4 linked regions of the Saccharomyces cerevisiae S288C genome follow. The gene in region 2 interacts genetically with the main gene of each other region. Each region holds a gene or a part of one and is shown on either strand. Other genes may lie near its edges. The genes, in order: PEX13, PEX12, NPR3 and PSK2.

Region 1 (4,051 bases), on a different chromosome or scaffold from region 2:
ACAAAAGGAACAAGAGGAACAAGCTCTAAAAAGACCCGCCTTTACCAAGGACACACCTATCGAAACACATCCTTTGTTTAACGCCGAAACAAAGAGAGAGTACCAGGATTTAAGAAAGGCTCTTACTGCTGCTATTACACCAATGAACAAAAAATCTCCGCTGAACTACTCCTCATCGTTAGCGATTGATTTGATTAGAGATGTAGCAAAACCAATGTCCATCGAATCTATAAGACAAACAGTTGCTACTTTGAACGTTTTGATCAAAGATAAGGAAAGAGAGGAGAGGCAAGCTCGTCTGGCCCGTGTTAGAGGTGGTACTGCTACTGGGGGTGCTGGTAAGAAGAAAGTCAAAGGTAAGACCAATTTGGGTGGCGCATTTAAGAAAGATCAAGATTTCGACCTAGATGGCCCCGACGATTTTGAATTCGGTGATGACGACTTTATGTAATCTGCTTATTGTTTCTTTGCTATGATAAACTTGTCCATCTCATTTTGTTGGTGAAAAAAAGCGAAGCCCAGCACCGCAGGCCTTGGATATTGCCATATCACAATTGTCCTGAAATTGTGAATGTCTATATTCCCATATATATATCCATAGGCGTTTCATTCATATAAAAATAAATACGCATATGTGTACGTAGGAGATTGTGTTTTCAAGATGGAGAATATAATGTGTTTTTGCACCGTTATCTGGCTTTTTGTTAAGAAGTACTTCGTCTCGTTTCTGCTGATTCTCCCTGGAATATTTACATTACTTTAGATTTTACTATATATATATGCGAATATATGTGTGCAAATATTGATGCACTAGTGTGTACGCGTTTCATCATCAACATGCTCAATTTTCTTCCGTCTTTTTATGATCTCAATATAGTTATACGGAATGTAGCCAATATTGCCGTTCTTTGTCCTCACTTTCCACCAGTCAGAATCCCTCCCAAGAGGGTCTTTCTTACTCAAAATTGCCATCAAGTCGCCCTTTTTTAAAGCAACTTCCATCTCTGGGTTTTCTGGAACAAAATCATATAACGCTCTTGCAAATTCTAACTTCGAAGGATCAATAGGCTCGCTACCATTTCCTTGCGATGCTCGTATGGTTCCAGAGGTCTGTAGTTTAGTAATAAATTTGTTTAGTAGATATGGAAAACCAAATACTGCCATCAAAAAAAATAGTAGCGGTTTCCATGAAATTTTCCTTCTTGTGGCTTTCTCATTAGAATTTATGGTACCACTATCATTAAACTTTTGAAAATCTTCAATTAGTTTATTTTTGCTTCCTTCAGATTCTGCGAAATTCTTTGGTGGTATTCCTAGTCTCCCCTTAGTAGCACGATAGAGTATTTTTTTAAGAAACTTCATTATAGCAAAGATACCAAAAAATGAACCTAGCATTTCCTTCAAATTACCAAACTGTTCTGCGACGGATATCATGGTGAAAAACGAGTTGTGTGTGGCCATATAAGTAGATTCCAGCATTTGTGCAAATCCAGTAACAGCGCCTATCAAACTTTCTATTAACTGAAAGGTGGCCTTCGTCGACTCACCTAGTCCACTTCCATTATTCATTCCATATCCCGCTCCTGCACCGTACCCTCCTCCATAAAACGATCCATAATTGTTGCCATAGTACGATCCTCCATAGCCATACCTCCCTATGCTGTTTCCGTATATAGAGTTCATACTATACGGATTATTATCATAGGGTATCCCATAATTGCTATTACCGTATATTCCCGGTATTGTATTCGATTCGCCGTAGGTACCAGAGGAGTTAAGTGCCGCAGGCCGCGGCAAAACTTCGGGAGCAGACTCACTTGCACTATTACTGTTATTGCTTTCTTCAGTTGGCCTGGAATCCTGCTGATTCGAGGTCATCATCGCACTTAAAGACTGAGCATTACGCTGTGGCTCCTCTAACGAAGCACTGGTCTCCCAAGGTTTAGGTCGTGGTACTGCTGTGGATGACATCGCAGGTATTGTTATAGTATAGAATCCCCTTGATATTTATAGATAGTATATGCACTTTCGAAATTGTTGTTCATTTCCACATGCGTTTGCTCACCAACTATCTGATATAATTAATATTAGTCCGGCGGGCTTCGGAAATAAAAAAAATTTGGCCCGCTGAAAAAGGTGTCATTAATCAGATAAAAGAAGACTTTATTATATCATTTTTTTTGGTAATTAATGTATTTAAGTATAGGTTGAATAAACTTGAATGCAATATATAAATTATGTGTTTGTGATACCAGTCACACCGTGATTGGATTTTCTATTCAGCTTTTAAAAGCGGGGTATTTGCTTAGACGACACTATGAATAAATAGCTGCAGCATTCGACGTTGTAAGAAAAAAGATTAAATCACACGACAAGCCCTTTGAAGTTCAGTAATATTCAAATAAAAATTGTCCAATGAGAAGGATGGATAACGGAGAAATCACGCACATTGCAGATGCGTAACTCGATAGCCTACAATACAAAGCGCCTATCAGCATTGATGTATTGTGAATGTTTGTGTAAAATAAGTTAATTTAATTTGAAGTTGACGCTTCATTTTTCCTTCTTCTCCACTTGGACAGGAAGGTTAAGTTGGAAACCTCTTTTACTTTCCCCACTCTGCACAGATGCTGTTGTGGAAATAGCAGAAGTTGGCTCCTCTTCAAAAGCAACATTTAAATCTTCGCTAGTATTAGCATCCGTATCATCGTTTGTTAGATGATCTTCCTCGGACGAAGTTCCCGAAGAAGAATCTGGCTGTTCTTCAATTTTCTTTAGGTCTAAAACAGAAACGCGTGCCAGTCTAGTCTTAGGGCATGGGATTCTTGCTGAATTTCCTTCAGTTTTTGAAGTGGAGGTGGCCACTACTGCGGAGGATTCAGTCAATTTCTTAAGAACTTTTTTACAATTGAAGAATTTTTTCTCCAGTTGCTTGACTTTTCTCTCAATATCTCTTTGGGATCTTTGAGCCTGTATACTAGGATCCTTCATAACCTCAAGCATAAATCTTTCTTCAATGTATCTGTTCGTCGTCATGGAATGCACTAATTTTTCATTCTGCAACTTTAATTCTGTAATTTCAAGTTCTAGCTGCTTGATCTTTATGTCTAAATTCGATTTTTCACGACTATTTGCCTCCTCTGCATTGGCCATAGAGGCCATTTGCATTGAAATATGTTGTTGTCCGTCACACCATTCGGGCTCATAGTCCGTCGACGTAGACGAGATAAAGCTATATCTGTTGTTGTTGTTATTGCCTTTGAGACCATATTGAACGAACCCGTTATTATCCGTAGGTAAATTGTCTAGATTCAGATCCTTAGGCAATTCGTTCACTTCGGTGCTTAGACACTGAGTGGAGCCGCCGGAGACGACTCTAAGTCCTTTGTCCTCGACCTTTCGCACCCCATGATTTTCTGGATCTTCCAAAGGAGTAGCAGGAACAGGAACGTATGAGGGGAGCAACCCTTCGGCGTTTTTCCGTAATATCGGTTCTTCCGCACAGACTTTGGCCTCAAATGAAGGGGGATTGCGTTCTTTCTTTTGTACTTGCGCAACGGATTCTGAACTGCGCAGCTGCTCTAGTTTGTCCTTGATGCTTTGTTTAATGATGTTTTTCTCTATGTTCAATGGATCAGGGTTTGAATTCTGGCCTTCACTAGTAGTTTTCTTGCTATTCTTCAATAGGGCAGATAGCAATGGCAGATTACTGGTTGTTTGAGATAGGTACTCGGGTTTTAACATCTTTGGAGTGTTGTTCAAAAACTGAAACCTAATAGGCGATACAGACCTCATAGTGTCAGAGCCCCTTCTTTGTTTAGAACGTCCACCTCTTGATAACTCGCTCAATTTAGAGAGTGATGTTGGATATAACAAGGAATTACCAATCGGGCCAGTGTCTAATTTTAGCTTCGTAGGTGAGTTCAATAGATTTTGAAAAGAGCCTGCATTTCTTTGGTCATCCAAACAAAAGGACATTGGTGAGAGTTTTGGAGTAAGTTGTTCCGATTTCATTGTTGGAGAATTCATTTTTTTAGTTGTTTAGTTTATT
Region 2 (4,204 bases):
ACATTTGTGAGGGGATAATAACACAAAGCAAAGTAATATAGGGTAAATGGACCTCCTAAAATTCAGTTCTCTAGCTATATCAGAAATTAACTTCCTGCACGAGTCATCGTTTGACTCGATAGACCACTCTTGGTTTTTATTGATAGGTTGCAAATTGGATCAAGATGATGAAATTTACATCCCAATAAATGGTAATGAAGCAGAGTCTCAATGGTATATTGAAAAAGTTATACGAATCCCGATGCAGGAAAATGATAAAATAAATCAAGAACGCCTAGAAAGGAGAATTAACCTAACAAAAGTGACTCAAAAGGACATTTGTATACTGGGTATTCTTGATTTATGTCAGTTAGAAGAGGACGAAAATATCACTAATAAAGTGACGGAGAAAGTGCTCACCCAATTGACCGCCTTGGCATTGAAATATCTGATAAAATATAACGTGTTTCGCCAACATACCTCCTTCCAAGAAGCTGTCAATAGTTTAAAGGGTTATAAAATTGAAAATAGTGTACAGATAGGCGCGGAAATTATCCTTGATTTTCTACAAGATAAAGTGCAAATTAAGGATGTAAATGACAGATACCAAATTCCCACACCTAATAATACCGTAGACCCAGGTTTTGATGAGTTTCAATTAATTGACATGAAGGATAAAGAAATCAATATTCAAAAATATAATAATAATACCATAAGAAAATTACTCGAGAAGATTAATCGAATGATAATATTCTTGAAAAATTATGATGCCACTGACAAGCCTTTCTCTTCCACGCAAGATGTAATACTTCGAAAAATATCAATGCTTGTAACACAACTGCAAAGAGGTGGAACAAGTGACATGAATTACCTGCTGGATAACAAAATTAATGAAATAAAATTATTAGAAATTTCGTGTAAACAATGGGAAATTTCAAATATGTTAAAAAAATAACTAGAATATATATATTACACAGAATTATTTTCTTCACTTCCTCCGTCATCAGATTAGTAGCTTCCTAATACCTGTCACAACTTCCCATTTATTCGTGTGTTTGTTGTATGTACAACCCAGCAGCTTTTTATTGGTAACGGGACAATGGCCTTCATTATTAACCAAATAGCTTATGGCACACGGGTAGCATGCCACGTATCCTGTTTCCAATACACAGGGGTTTTGTACAGTTTTTTCGCAAACGGGACAGGCCTCAGAAACTCCCTCTTTATCTTCCGTTTTGTCACTATGTGAGGAGAAAGGCGGCCTTGGAATATCTTCATCCAAGTCATTGACCCTTTTCTGCAATTTAGTAGTCATGTCTTGTGTGGTCCACCATTGGTACACTCTTAGGACAAATATAAAAGTGGGGAAGAATTGCGAACCCATAAATGTTAAAAATCTGGGTATAATCGATAATTGTCCTTGCATTAGCGCGAAAATTGACGATATATTTGTTTTCCTTAGCCTATTATCCATCCCTTTCGTCTCTTTGAGACCAGAGAGTTCTGACGATAGTGGTCTTACCGTTGTGTACTCTATCTTGAATAAGTATTGCAACAAGGAAACCGACCCTGTTCTTTTAGTTAAAAATAATAATTTAACGAGTAAATTGGATAACGCTAATAATTTCTTAATAAATGGATAAATTCTTAGAAACGCTCTCTTGGGCCATTTATTTTCAGTTTCATCGCTGCTGAATATATTATTCATTGATATTTTCTCTAATATTTCATCCAACTTCGCTGTGATATAGGGGAGAATAATTTTTTCCAAAAAAATAACACTCTTTTGCTGTTGATTCAGCTGCAAACCTTGGGGCCATTCACTCTGGCCCTTTGGATTTAAACATTGTGTTAAGGCAAGATTTCTGTCCCTCGAACTAAATAGTTGCAATCCATAAAACCGATCAATAAACGTAGAATTGTATGTCTTTAGATGATACCATTCAACAAACCCTTTTATCGCTTGAAACCACTCAAAAAAGTACTTGTTCAGCCGCAAAGTATACCTGTTAGGGAAGTTCGCCACTAAATGATTTGCCAGTAGATAACGGATGGATGCGGGCAGTAACGAATCGATTTCTTGTGATGACATTATCTCAAAGATAGTCGGATACAATGGTTCTAATCCCACCCCATTTCGACCGCTTGTTGAAGACCCTCGACTAGATTGTCCTGCAGACGGTAGGTTTGAATAAAAGCTCATCACTTGACGACTACCTTCCTTTCCTTTGCTTTATTTTCCCTGCTTATTCCCTTGCTTCTTCTGGAGCCTTCATGCAAAACCGTTTCTCTACCTAATGTGATTCTGCGGTAAGCATTGCTCTTAAGCATCTGAATGAGACGAAAGGATGACTCCACACTAAATTGTACCTCTCTTCTCCAGTGACTGAATTGGAGGTTACCATTGCCAGTGACGGTAATCGTCCACATCGATGATTTCTTAGTATAACCCACACACCTCTCAGACATAGAGGCCCCAGGTGCAACGTGATAGTATAACTGCCCGGAAGTAGAAATACAACTATTCCCTTCATATTAAAAGAATAAAACTTCATTTGAACTCTTTAAAATTTAGTGGTTCATTGTGGTCCTTGTGTAAACGGAAAAAAAGGATATTACGGTAGTGGGTAGTACATAACAAGAGATGACTATCCCTGGAAGATTTATGACAATTGATAAGGGCACTTTTGGTGAATACACTGCTAGCACCCGTTGGCCCATTATCATTCAGAATGCTATAGACGATTTAAGTAAGCATCAAGAAACGGAGAAGAGTAACGGCACTAAGTTCGAACAAGGTGAAGTTATCAAAAAGGAGCTCAAGGAATTCCGTCAGGAGATAATTGATCGTGTACCTTTGAGACCCTTTACTGAAGAAGAGATCAAAATTGCCAACGTCCCGCTTTCGTTCAATGAATATCTAAAGAAACACCCTGAAGTCAATTGGGGGGCTGTAGAGTGGCTGTTCTCGGAGGTTTACTTGTATAGAAGAGTAAATGTTCTTTTCCAACGCCAATGCGAATGGGCTAAATTTGACATATTCAACAGACTTAAACAGTCAACTTTTGAGTCCTCGTTTTATGGTGTCGTGGAATTGGCGTTAAGGTATGAAAATCTGTTACCACAGCTGAGAGAAATGAAGCAAAATCCAGGAAATGAGATTGACGATATATTGAAAGTTCTTTTTAAAGAGTTTATTGAGATTTCTTTGTGGGGCAATGCCACTGATTTATCTTTATTGACCAACGCTACGTTAGAAGACATTAAATCAATCCAAGGGGCGAAAGCAAGAGCTGCATCCGAGTCCAAGATTGTTGTTAATGACACGGAGAAAGCATGGGAGGTATTAACCAAAGCCAGGGCCGATGCCAATAGCAGAGAAATTCGTGTTGATTTTGTATTAGACAATTCTGGCTTTGAATTGTATGCTGACTTGATGTTGGCAGCTTTTCTGTTACAAAGTGGTTTGGCTACCAAATGTATTTTCCACGCTAAAGACATTCCATACATGGTTAGCGATGTTATGTTAAAAGATTTTGATATATTAGTTCATGACCTGAGAGATCGTGAGTTCTTCCCAAGTGGTGAACCCTCGACAAAGGAATCCAGAGCTCTTGATTTATTTGCTGGTGAAATGGAAAAGTTCGTCTCTAGCGGTAAGATAGAATTCCGCGAAGATTCTTTCTGGACCACGGAATTAGATTATTGGAATTTGGACGCAAACGAAACCAAATACCATGGATCCATTTTGCACAAAGATTTGCAAAAATCCAATTTGGTTATTTTTAAGGGTGATCTAAACTATAGAAAATTAACTGGCGACAGAAAATGGCCCCGCACCACTAAATGGGAAACGGCTATCGGACCTCTTGCTACGAATGGTATTACATCATTGAGCTTGAGAACCTGTAAAGCCGATGTACAAGTTGCTTTACCTGAAGGTCTAGACGCGAAATTAAGTCAAGAATGGGAAAAGGAAAATCCTGGCCGTGGTTCTTGGTGGTGTTGTAGCGGTAAATGGGCAGTCATTTGTTTCTGCTCTGGTATACATAAATAAGAATATGATAAGTTCTCTATATAACTTTACTTTATGACTTTCCCTATGAAATGTTCCAAAAAAGCACATAGATTTTTAGTACGTGCCTTTTATTTTATGTACTTCTGATAAAAAAAAGAAAGCTCCTAAGGACAAATTACAATCAATGGCGAAAGAAGAGGAAGAAAG
Region 3 (6,483 bases), on a different chromosome or scaffold from region 2:
GCCCAATTCTTGGTCATCCCCTTCTTCAAAGAGTGTGAACTCTGAAAATGAAAGTGTTAATGGTGGTGATGAGAATTCCGAATTGCCTTCCGAAATTCCTGAATCATCTGGTAGATATAATGCTGCTAATTCCTTTACCACATATAATAATTCCTCAGCAGGAAACTCTAACAACAACAACAACAACAACAACAGTAACAGTAATAAGTCTCAATATAAAAAGCGCTATGCAAGGAGGTCAAGCTACGGATACAATGAAGTACCTCCAAAACCATACTATTTCCAGCCTTATTACTATCACCCCATGCAATACCATATGGGCCCAATGGGCCCATTGCATCCTTCTCAAGGTTCTGCTGGAAATCACCATCCATATATGATGGTTTATCCCATGTCACCACCTCCGCCTTCTGGGTTAGATGGAAGCATGATCCCTCCTCCAATAAATGTAAGCCAATCACATGCTGCTAATCATGGCAGTACCCATGTTCATGCGAACGAATTCATATCAAACGATACTGGTGACATAAATGAAGATAACAAAGCTTATAGTTTAGATTACTAAAAATGATTGGTCGTAAAAGCTGCAAAAGATGTATGTAATTCAGCGGTGATGTTAACTTTAAAAGTGCAGTTTCGTTTTCTTTTTCGTCTCCCTATTTTTTTCTCTGGATCTTTTTTTTTTTTTTCACTTGGTATTGTTTTCATCCTTCTTTCCTTCTTTTACCTTCTTTGTCTCCTAATATAACAATACATACTTTCGAGTTTTGATTACAAGTCACTCGAAATGTTTTTTTCCTTTTATATATTCTTCCTTTTGTCTATTCTTATATACACATATTTTAATTTTTGGTAGATTTTTTTTTTTTTACTTACATTTTGTTACAATAGAGAGATTTACCAATGGTGTATCTCGATTAAATACTTATCTAGAGCATTGAGCAATTTCTTTAGGTCATGTCTGCTAATTTCCTCTTTGATGATAACCAATTCCATGGGGACCTTTCCATTGAAGTACTTGAGCAACTTGTTAAAAAGAATCTGGATATCTGAAGGCTGACCATAAATACATCTATAAAGCCATCTTTTTTCAATCGCAGTGGCTCTTTCAGGTTCCAAAATTATAGTATAGTCATGTTGCATTTCTGGATCATCGTATTCGAAGTGTAGTATTTCTTCTTCATCCGCAATAGCTATTTCATTGTCATCACGATCATCAACACGACTATCATTTTCGTTATCTTTTTCGTCCACATCTTTGTTGTTGTCGTTGGACTGCATGCCTTCATTCTTTCCTGAACACGCTTCGCTGGCGTTTGCATCTCTACTTTGCCCATCTTCATCATCCAGCTTTTTATCAGTTTTTTTGTAGTCCATGCTGGGCCTTCTAGCAGTATTAGTCTTACGGAAGCCTTCCTTTTCTAGATCCTCATCTACTGCCATTTTTATGTGTTTGTCCACTCGGATATTTATGAAAGTCAATAATTGGGTTACATACCCGTACTGTATTAACCACGCTAACGCGTTCAGGTAAACTGGCTTATGTTCCCTTGATGGGATTATGTTACTGTACGCTTGAGGTTTGTCCGTGGACAACAAACTTAAAAAAATGGGTAAACTGGGCAATGATGGGAATTTGGATCTGAACAACATCGAATTTTGATAAATTAGTGGTACTCTGTCGCTTCCACTCTTATTATTTTCGCGATCGTCCATTTTTTTCACGTTCCCATCATTTTGTGAAGTACTTTTATAATCATCTATTGTATAACCTTGAATAGGAGCCAAGGGTGAAACAATATACGTGTATTTGGAGCTTAGTGGGATCACTATTCTTGCATGTCTCCAATACATTAAATGCAATGCGCAAGAGCGCAGTATGCTTGATTCCAATGAGTTTGTTTCTGTAGTAAGGTCGTCCAGTGAAGAAGGGTTATCTAATAAATCAGTTATCAGATAGCGATACGACCTTAGAGGGATATTTGGCTGGATATTTCTGACTAAATGTTTCAATATGATAGTGCCAATATCGTCCTGGTATGAAAAAGTTTCGAGGGAGCTAATAATATTATTTGGCTCGTCCAATAATAATAGCGCATAGTTTAAAAGGTCATCATTGTCGTCGCAGTAGTAATTGCTTTCATTGTCGTCCCCGTCATCCACATTTGCTGCTCCACAGTGGCCGGTACTATTAATATTATTGCCAAACCTGTATATGTTATTATTGGTATCACTGAATTGAGCCTGATCGTTTTGACGATTTTGACTTTCAATTCTCAATGATGATTTTTCTAAAAATTTCATGTTCAAAATGGACGTCAAATATGAGCCTCTTAGCACGGGTTGCAGTTTGAAGTTTGGCATTTTTTCAAACTCGTTTTGAATCGGGATTTGCAAGGAAATTACTTTATCGTCATTGATCTCAAGACATGCGATTTCATTTCGTTGGATTTTATCAACACATTCCGTTAGCGCCCTAGCCAACGAAGATTTGGCTAAAATTCTTTGGTACAGATACTTCCCCTTGTTTCCTGCGCCTCTTATAGATTGGTATGTTTTCGAATGTTTCAGTACCCGTTCTTTTTCCTTTAAAATTATATGGCATTCGCTAGAAATGTACGAGGTTTTTGATTGCACATATCTTAACAATAATGATAACCTTGTAACAACAAACTGATACATGTCATCAATCCTTTTATTATATTCGATTAAATGCGGATTCATAACAAAGCATACATGAAACATGTTCATATTTTTGCCCAAGTCTTCCTTTTCTCTCTCAAATTCGTTTCCACTGACATCAGTATTTATCCTCAAATTCGGCGTATCAGTAGAAGCCTCATGACCAATATTACTGTCATAAACAGTGTCAGCTTCACCACTATTAACTTTCTTCAAAGTATTCTCACTCAGTGATGAAATTTTGGAAGCGATAGATTTCTTTCTACTGATGTTTGTTGTAGTACTCGAAGATCTTTTAGAGCGGGTTTTATTTTTGTGCTTGGATTTTCTCCATCTGCCTTGAGAATCTACATGAATAGGTAAGCCTAAGAAGCAGAAATTATCCACCGTGAATTCGAATCTGGTATTGCACATTTCCCTCTCAGGGCTACAAAATTCTGCAACAAAATCATTATCAAATTCTAGAATTTTATTTATATCCTGGAAGTTTTCCTCTTCAAAAAAAATTTCATTCATAGAGATTTTACCATCCTGCAACATTGCCGAAACTTCCATGTCTTCTTCTTCAACATCGTACTGGGTATGGGAATTTCGTTGGCTCGTCGCGGCATTTTTATGATAATGGTGGTAACGATGGTGGTAATGATGAGGTGATTGGCCAGGAGTGTCGTTCAGGCTACTATTACGAAGTTCTTGGTTATGCTCTCCTGTACTCGATAAAGATTTTTTAGAAGAAATTGAACAACTTCCTGTAAAAGCATTTCCATCAGTCTCATTGGACGTATTTTTTAACAGTTTGTTGCCTTTTTTAGTGCTTTGTGATGGCTTAGATTTAAGCTTTCTTACTGGAGAATGTGTTTTTGAATCAGTACTCTTCTTGGTACTCAATTTATGGAAGAAATTCTGGGATCTCTTGGAAGCGGCCCTTGATTTGTTATTAGTCCCAGAATCTAGATATGATTCCGCTACTGAAATACTATCGTTTTCCATTATCATTTGTGGTGAAGTTGGAGACATTGAATCCGTAGATTGGAAACTCGAATTAGTTCTTGATAAGCCATCTTGCGGAGGGGAAGATGAGGATGAACTTGAGGGAGAAGAAGATAAAGAAGATGACGATAAGGAAGAAGATATAGAAAACGAATCGCTAGAAATGTCTAAGTAGTCTGTGGACAATTCGCTGTCACTTAATCCCGATGATGACGTTTCAGATTCAGTTTCTTGGTATTGAAAAGTCCGAGAAGTATCTTCGATATCGGTTTTTCTATAACCTACACCATTAGTAGCCGCAGGAATTGAACTTTGTGATCCTACAGTATTAGCATGCGATCTAGTTGGAGGTAATGTCACATTATTAGTATTAGTATTTGTCATTGATGGCGTAATAGCGGTATTGTAACTTTTCGCTGACTCGTTTAGAGCAATTTGAGAAGCTGTTTTCGTAGAGCCAGAATTAAAGAGTTTTTCTTCTTTATTTGTACTTGTGTTTTTATTTAGATTTGCATGGTTTCCATAGAGGTGCTGATGCTTCGTTGGATTATTTGTTAGAAATGCTGTATTGGAGGGTGGGTAGTGATAAACTATTTGTGGCCCCGAATGCGTTGAAATGACGAGGTGAACACCTAGTAGACATGAATTGGGTAAACATTCATCCATTGAAGCTTAGTTTCTACCCAAAAGATGACTCTGTTCCCTTTTTTTTTTGAATTTTCTTCACATTTCAATAGCTTATCTATGTTTAATGGTATTTCAAGATATCACAAGCGAAAAAGTTACTTAAGAAAAAAGACTAGTGATCCTTACATGGCTTATAACTCATTCACCATCGAATCATTGTAAAATCATATGCCATCTTAGTATAGTGGTTAGTACACATCGTTGTGGCCGATGAAACCCTGGTTCGATTCTAGGAGATGGCATTTATTTTTTTGAAATTGTATTTTTTTTTGGACTAGTATTCATTATCAAAGATTTCAATTTATATAATATTTAAATGTAACCGTTTTCAATTCTTGAAAAACATTTTTTATAAAGCAACAGCTCCCATTCTTATTCATTTGTATTCAAAAATTCTGGCATCAATCTCGTTCATTTCAGCTTTCTTTTGGAAAAAAATTTCCCGCTGACATTCTATGATGACGTTCTTTAATGGTGAAGTTGCAATATCCCAGCTGTTGGCAGTCAGAGATGCTATCAAATTCTTGGCTAAGGAGTAGTCGCGCTGATTCAAACTCAATAATTGAATGGATTTGTTATGCACTTCATTATTTTGTGCCAAAACTTGCGTAATACGAATTCCTTTATAGTTTGCCATCGTGCAAATATAAGCGTTGCGTTCATTCGAGTGAGTATAATTTAGGGCTATGCTAATCCCATAGGGGTCCGCATCGGTAAATATAGAACAGTCCGATATCAATTTGGAGCAATATTGTTCTAGTTTTTTTAGGAATAACCTTGTCAAGAAATCTGGAAATCCCTTACCTGTAATGAGCATGGTATTTGTACTCAACTTGTGATAATTATTTACTAATTTGGTGAAGACAGCTTCTTTTTCCACTATTACAATATTACACATACTTGTTGTCCCTAACTTGATGACCGCATCATCTTGGAAAAATGGAATTAGACAGGGCTTACCAGGGAAAATTGTTTGCTTTTGCATCTTTGGTTCATTTTCACATGTCAGAATATTGTCATAAATATCAATGGGGAAAGGCGAATAAACTAAACCCTTTTGAGCTGGTATAATGTTTAAGGATTTTCTTGGAGAGAGCTTGAAATTAAAGCGTATAACGTCCAGCCACTGGACTACGTTTGCTTGTCTTTGAAACAATTCCACGTTGGAGTAGAAGATATCTCTCACTGTAGTGTTTTTACCTAGCGGTAATTTTTCCATAACGACTTTCAATAAGTTTAAAAGGATTGCGCATCTTTTCAACTTGAACTGATGAGTGCATAGATGCGGGCCATTCAAAGGGAAGTCCAATGTTGTGTGAATGTCAGGACTGCTTGTATCGCCTTTTTTTTTTTTGTTTTGAAAGACGATTGAAATAGGCTGTTGATGTTGCTCTAATGAATTAGCCGCCAATGACAGGAAATGCTTAATATGAGCCAAAACATCTGCGTTTGAACAGGGAGTTCCGTTGGAGTGACCATTGGAGTTCAAGTGAATGGACCGTCTTTTAGGAGTGAGTGCTTTGACCAATTCCTGCCTTGTTTTATATTTTTTCCGCAATCCCTCCAAAGCCATGAGAAGGTGAACTTAGTAAATCGTAAAATCTTAAGGGTGAAGACAAATATGTGAGGTTATTTGAATGATATTTAGTTGGATATAATCACTAAATAAAGTAGATTTTCCTTGGGTAGTAGACTTTCTTTTACGTTATTCCTTTTATAATTTTAATTTTAGTTATTGATTTCAATGAAACAAAAGGAAACTGACGGCTTCTTAAAATAAATATATTTAACATGAAACATTAAAAAAAAAATTGTCACTACACAGAGAGAAAATAAATAAATATAAAGAATCACATAACTATGCTGAAAAAATGAAGTTATTTGTCATGAGGAAACTTCTCTTCCAAGAACTTTAATTTACTCTTGAAAGTATCAGAATCGAAATAGCAACCCTTTAACCATTGCTGGTTTGAGCTTGTTAAAGAGTTAGCATGCAAAATTCTCCTGTTGTTAAAGATAACACAACAGTTTTCGGGCAACTGCAATCTAAATTGATTGTTGAAGTCATTGATATGACTCTCGAACAAGTTCAACCCCCTAATGAAAGACTTAAACAAAAATCTC
Region 4 (6,120 bases), on a different chromosome or scaffold from region 2:
TTGTCTCAATACATTGAGGGGTATCTAACGTGAAAATATTCAAAATCTCACTCTGCAGTGTTAAACCTAATTTGGTAAAGCTGGGCATAATATCACAGGCGCTGACAAATAAATCTAATATCATAGGGTTGGACTTGAAAACGGTAATATCAATAAATCCAACCTCAGACATTTTTTCTAGGCAATCCTTGATATCTCTTTTTATGAAAAGGTTCACACATTCTTGAAATACTTCACTCCTCTGATCATTTACCGACTTGGTCGATTCATCACTTTCAATGAATAAGTCATCGTTAAGTAAATCCCTTAGAGAAGAATCGAGGGAATGCATAGGCAGATTGTTCATTATCTCACTTGCAGCCATTATTCACAGAACCCTCTTGTATAAACCACACCGTAGTACGTTCTGCTAGTGCCTCTTTCTGTTTACCTAACTATTTCTCTTGCCTAAATATGTAAGTCTACGATGACTTTTCTATGGTACTTGATGTCACTCCGACGGCGATAAGCCGCTCAGCGCAGAAGTTTGCCCCAAAATAGAATGAAAGAAAATACTGCATAGAGGCTGGACAAGAAGGATATAGAGCAATGATATGATATTAAAAATGTAATTAATATATAGCCAAAAAAAGAATAGAACATTTATGAAGGTAAATGGTTATGAAAATGGATTAAATTATTCTTTCCCTTTATCTTGGAGAGTACGGAAAACTAGATTTTAAGCCATTTATCTTCATATATTTCATCAATAGTAGGTCTTTTATCAACTTCTCTTGTCAAAATTCTTTTTATCAAACTGATGCATTCTTCACTGACATGTTCCGATTTATCGAACCTTAATTCACCTTCCAAGATTTCATCAATGTTGTAATAAGGATTCTCTTTATAAATTATGGTATAAAGTAGCACACCAAGAGCCCAAATATCTTGTGGTTTACCTTTGTAAGAGGAACCACCAAGGACTTCAGGTGCAGCATAGTCCATTGTTCCCACAAAAACATCGAATGGTCCACTCTTGATATAGGCAGCCGAACCGAAATCGATTAATTTTACAAAGCCATGAGAATCAACAATAACATTTTCGTCCTTTATGTCTCTATGAACAATTCCTTGGTCATGTAAATGCTTTATACTAGCGACTACCTGTTTAAACACCAGTTTAGCTTCATGTTCAACCATATCTTTTTTGAATTCGATAACATCAAATAGATCAATACTACCAGTTTCTCCATGGACCGGTGTTTCAATGTAATAATAATCGTCATCTTCAAAAAAATCTAATAACTTCAAGATATTTTCTTGGGAATTTTTATTCAAGGTCGCCATAATTTGGATCTCAGAAGGTATAGTACCTAATTTTCTATCTCTCACCCATGTGTCTACTAAAATCCTCTCTTTGAAAATCATTTTGATGACCACGATATAGTGTTCTCTGTTATGAATGCATAAATTGACTTTACCGTACGCACCCTCACCCATCACTTGCAGAATAGTAAAATCAGAAAATTTCTTTATGCGCTTTTGTGAGCCTATATTAGCCTCTGGAGTAGTCAAGTACGTAGCTTTTAAAGTAGAATTTCTTTTGTCTAGCTCATTTGTTTCCTTTTTGATTTCTTCTCCGTTTATCGGTTCAATTATCCTCATTATAAATTTTTCATCCACTTTAAAGTTGTCGTCCTTTACAAATTTTGATTTGTCCTGCGTGTACATTTTCGTTAATTCAATTTTATGTTTTAACTCAGGATCATCAACCATTGTCATGTCATCGTCATAGTTATTGTTGTCATTAGATTCGATACCTCTCACTTTACCGCAAGAAGTTTCTCGTAGTTTTTCATTCACTTGATTTAAGTCTACTTCATCGTCTGAATTAGAAATCGTTTCAGCGGAGCTAATCGACAGATCAGCCATTGCCTTCAAAGTATTCACAGGAATTTTTTCCGAAGATTTCTTGGAAGATGCACTGGAACTACCTCTACTGCCAACGACATCAATTTCGTTCTCCTTTAACATCGGTAGCTGCGAAGGAACGGTGGTATAATTTTCAATGACCACGTCTCTTGAGTGTGTAATCCATAATAATACAGCATTCGTATTCAAGACCCGTAATTGAACATCCACCTTTATCAAATTACCATCTTTGTGACAGCCGTCTAGACCAATAGAAGTGTAAAACGAGTCCTTATCATGATGCATTTCAGCCTCAATTTTTCTGAAAAAATGTTCTGTTAAAACCAATCCTTTATTTTCTGGTAATGTGATATTTAACATAGGATAAGTTTTATTGATATAAGATATCATGTCCGCCAAAGAAGGAACCAACTTAGTAACCGAACTACCGGCCAACTCGTGAAGTCGCAAGCCAAACATGTTTTTGGCGACTGATTTGTTGAAACTTAAAAGACTTAAAGTGTGACTGTCAACAATAAATAGCCCAGCCTGATAGGGCAAACTATGAATTTTTAATTTTATTTCGTTTTCCAATACGGAAGTTGTAACAGCACATGGTATATTTTCAGATAGACAATTCAACGTAAAATATCTCTCTTCGTTGACATGATTTGCCACCCTGATAGACAAGGGTAATAAATCATCATCTGCAGAAAACACTTTTCCAAAACGTACATCATCAATTAGTTTACTCAGTGAGTGACTTACTGACCCAATATCGTGAATTTCATTTGCAAATTTTACCGTTTTCTTTTCTGTCATTGGCGAAGTTGATTCTTGCTGCTTTTTCTTGTCAAAGTTTTCCAGAAAGTGTGTTGTATCAATAATGCTGTCCACTGAAAAATCTCTCAAGTTTAACATGACGTCAATGTAATCGCAAGGCGTTTTTTCAAATACGCAGACCAGTAGGCCATTCTTCCGCTTGGCCCATAGTGAAGCCCAAATCAGATTTGGTACATTATTATTGCTTGTCGAATTTGGCTGGACGATAGGTATAGTTTCTCCGGTAAACACAATTTCTTGGTTATCATCTTCTGCATTCATGATTTTCTCTAGAACAAAATTTCTGCTATCCGTATGAATAAGGTCTAGTAAAGTAAGTGCCTTGATAACATTCTTTGATATACCGAACGTTAGACACGCCAAATCATTGGCAGCTTTGAAGTTCCAGGGGTATTGTTGAGAACATGTAAAAATGGCCTCTGGACCAGAATTTTTTGCAGATGTGAAAGGATGAAGAATTCGGCTATAGTCCTGTTGTGGTTTGATGTCTGCTAAGGAGACTATATCATCGTGTTTCTCCTCATATTCATTATATTGCGATTTCGAACCTAAATCTTTGTGAGGGAACTTCTTGTAGTTTTCAAAAAATGGTTCTGCTAAACTATCTAATAAAACCTTTTTCAAAGTTTCTGATTTTTGAATGTCTGAATCAAAGTTTATTTTCTTGATATTCAATAACGATAGCATGTGTAAATCGGAAGCTCTTTCGAAGGAATTGTTTTCCAATGCTAAATTTAGCAAGAATAACAAGTTTTCTAACTCGGACTTGGCTGGATTCAGTTTACTGGCAGTATCATTATCAGGCAACACCATTAAGGACGTTGCTCTCTGTATCACGGGTCTACTAGCAGGAGATGGCATATTGGATACTAATGGTGAAATTAGAGACCCATTTAACGGATCTCGCGATGCTGATAACGTGGCAGTCTCTGTTAAGTTTCTTGTGTGTCTAAGTGAGGGGGGGTATGCTATTACGGGTGCTTTTTTCTTCAACTCATGTAAGATGTCAGGACTGTTTACCATTATTTCCAAAGACCTTCTTAAGATGGTCAACCTTACTCCCAGTGAGTTTGGTGATATGGGATTATACGAAAATGCATGCGGCGACTCATTAGGTACAGCAACAAGGTCCGAACGATCATCATCACTGAATGTTGACGAAAACGAATCGACGGACGAGGAAGCGTGTTGGTACAAGCATGGAGGTTTAGAGAGCCCTACCAACGGGGTATTTTTAGAATATGAAATGTCGGCAGGAGCGGCTGCACTAACCGGGTATGTCATTGTGTTCTTTGTTTATGATTCTTTACTTTAATCTAGCAGGGCAGAGGAGTAACAATAAAACGCCCTGCAAAGAAGTATGATTACTGTTCTTGCCAGACTTAGAATTCTAAGTGTTAAAAGTCACCAATAAGGAAGGAAAAAAGTTTATGATAGTTTATACTGTTGTTGTTACTACCTGCTCCGTTATGTTTCTAACAAGGAATAAAACAGGGTATAGACGTGATGTCAGCTTAAAGAGGAAAACGAAATATGTAAACTTTGTTAAAAATAAACAGGGCCCCTTATTGATCGTTCGCGATGCTATTATTTTATAAGCCAGCCTTTATCGTTTCTTTTGATCTTGTTTCTTTTTCTTGTTTTTTTTTTTAACTTCGTTCTCTTTTCACGTACTGATTACTCACACCAGGAGAAAGAAGTTGAAAAATGCTGTTATTCTCTGGAACACGCTATTAGATAGTACTTGCTGGTTCCGTAGACAAACAGCTCTTGCGCTTTATCACTTCGACAAGTGTCTTTACAGCTTCGCGATGACATATCGTCTCTTGCCCCTGCCCCACCTGTAACAATAGCTTGGCCAAAAAAGAAAAAAATGTTCCGACGAATTTTTCCGCTGATTTTGGCTGATCGCGTCGCGCCACAAAAACGAAACTTCCATAATAAAACATTATATAAAGCTTTTTATTATTATTATTATTACTTTCTTAGTTATAGCATTAGAACTATAAGAGCTGCTAAGACACCAAGCAAACATGTCGACTAGACCCCAACCTGATTGGTATTACCATAGACATCCATATGCCTCTACGCCACTGGCAGAAGGGGAGGAACCACAATTACTCCCCATCCAAGACCAAGGGAACCATAAGAAATCAAAAATTTGGATGGCATACAAGGCTCCGATAGTTCGATGGTACAAGAATGCTATGCTTGTTAAAGACAATTTTTGGAAAGACCTAGAGTCGTCGCACCAGATCATCTGGTATCCGTATAAAGTATGTTGATGTTCCAATAAGCAGATCATGTTTTTTAAGCCGTCATACTAACCGCCTTTGAAGGGAATTAGCGAATCCGTGGGAAACTCGGATTATTTGCATCTATTTTTCCTAATATTTGGATACTACCTGCTGAATCTCCTGCTTATTGTTGCGTTTACGTCAATCCTTGCGTGGTCCTTGTTAGTGTGCATCTATTTGCCCTTTCTCGGACTCTTTGCGTTACCTCTGGCTTATATGCAAACTATTCTGATTTCCACAACGCTATGTAATTCTATGGTGAAGGGTACCGATTTCGTTCTTTTCACACGTATTTATGGAGTGACGTTCGCAAGAAAGGGATTAACAGAGTTGAGTGAAGCCTGTGAAACGATAAGTTTCACGCCCTTTGTCTACAGAAGGTCACATCGTTTGGGTGGCCTCTTTTCGAAACGGTTTTACCTCGTCTCTTTGCCGCAGTTTTTCATTTTTTTCTTCTGGTACATCTTCATAGCCTTTATGTTTCTTTTATTGTTGCTCGTTCCAATAGTGGGTCCAATTACAATCAATATGCTACCATTTAGCCCCGGAATGGGATTTTACTATTTTGAGCCTTATTTTGTTGACGTGCTACATTTGGATTCGCGCAAACTTTCCAAAGTTTACTACAAGGGCTTTGCCAAGTGGCTCCTTTACTCGATATCCAGCGGTTTATTAGAGTCTATTCCCATTCTGGGTGGGTTGTTCATTGGAACAAACGCAGTAGGTGCTTCGCTTTGGATAGTTAAAGAGATAAAAGACCGGGACCAGCCAGCCGTACCTCCTTCCCCTCCTGCGGAACCAGAAGAGCCTACTGTAGGATCCTATGCACCTCCAATCCAACAATCTATAGCTCACATTAATCCGCCATGAAGCTCGCAACTCTTTTACATACCAATTTATATATTCATTATATGTTTACATATATAAATATATATATATACTATATACTATATATTACTTGCTAATAATATTCGTTTCTTTTCAACATTTGTATATGCATAAAAAATTTGGGAAATCAGGGGACTTATGAAAATCAGGGTGGTTACACTCGGAACTTCAAAACCTAAATAAAGTAAATCACTTTCAAGAA

The links.
Region 1: mutations in PEX12 (region 2) and PEX13 together harm fitness less than expected from each alone (positive genetic interaction), as found in Saccharomyces cerevisiae (4 studies listed by BioGRID).
Region 3: mutations in PEX12 (region 2) and NPR3 together harm fitness more than expected from each alone (negative genetic interaction), as found in Saccharomyces cerevisiae (3 studies listed by BioGRID).
Region 4: mutations in PEX12 (region 2) and PSK2 together harm fitness more than expected from each alone (negative genetic interaction), as found in Saccharomyces cerevisiae (3 studies listed by BioGRID).

What each region holds. Positions count from the first base shown.
Region 1 is NC_001144.5:535,192-539,242, reverse strand, and holds PEX13 (peroxin PEX13), read right to left. Parts: upstream 1,972-4,051; coding exon 811-1,971; downstream 1-810. Other genes in the region: HCR1 (translation initiation factor eIF3 core subunit j), read left to right, coding at 1-451; MMR1 (Mmr1p), read right to left, coding at 2,554-4,029. UniProt on the Saccharomyces cerevisiae protein: Component of the PEX13-PEX14 docking complex, a translocon channel that specifically mediates the import of peroxisomal cargo proteins bound to PEX5 or PEX21 receptors.
Region 2 is NC_001145.3:323,254-327,457, forward strand, and holds PEX12 (ubiquitin-protein ligase peroxin 12), read right to left. Parts: upstream 2,183-4,204; coding exon 983-2,182; downstream 1-982. Other genes in the region: CSI1 (Csi1p), read left to right, coding at 47-934; YMR027W (putative methyltransferase), read left to right, coding at 2,624-4,036. UniProt on the Saccharomyces cerevisiae protein: Component of a retrotranslocation channel required for peroxisome organization by mediating export of the PEX5 receptor from peroxisomes to the cytosol, thereby promoting PEX5 recycling.
Region 3 is NC_001140.6:58,226-64,708, forward strand, and holds NPR3 (Npr3p), read right to left. Parts: upstream 4,339-6,483; coding exon 898-4,338; downstream 1-897. Other genes in the region: RIM4 (Rim4p), read left to right, coding at 1-565; SPO11 (DNA topoisomerase (ATP-hydrolyzing)), read right to left, coding at 4,736-5,932; AIM17 (Aim17p), read right to left, coding at 6,237-6,483. UniProt on the Saccharomyces cerevisiae protein: Component of the SEA complex which coats the vacuolar membrane and is involved in intracellular trafficking, autophagy, response to nitrogen starvation, and amino acid biogenesis. Mediates inactivation of the TORC1 complex in response to amino acid starvation.
Region 4 is NC_001147.6:241,394-247,513, reverse strand, and holds PSK2 (serine/threonine protein kinase PSK2), read right to left. Parts: upstream 4,018-6,120; coding exon 712-4,017; downstream 1-711. Other genes in the region: PEX15 (Pex15p), read right to left, coding at 1-364; LDS2 (Lds2p), read left to right, coding at 4,767-5,009, 5,073-5,900. UniProt on the Saccharomyces cerevisiae protein: Serine/threonine-protein kinase involved in the control of sugar metabolism and translation. Phosphorylates UGP1, which is required for normal glycogen and beta-(1,6)-glucan synthesis.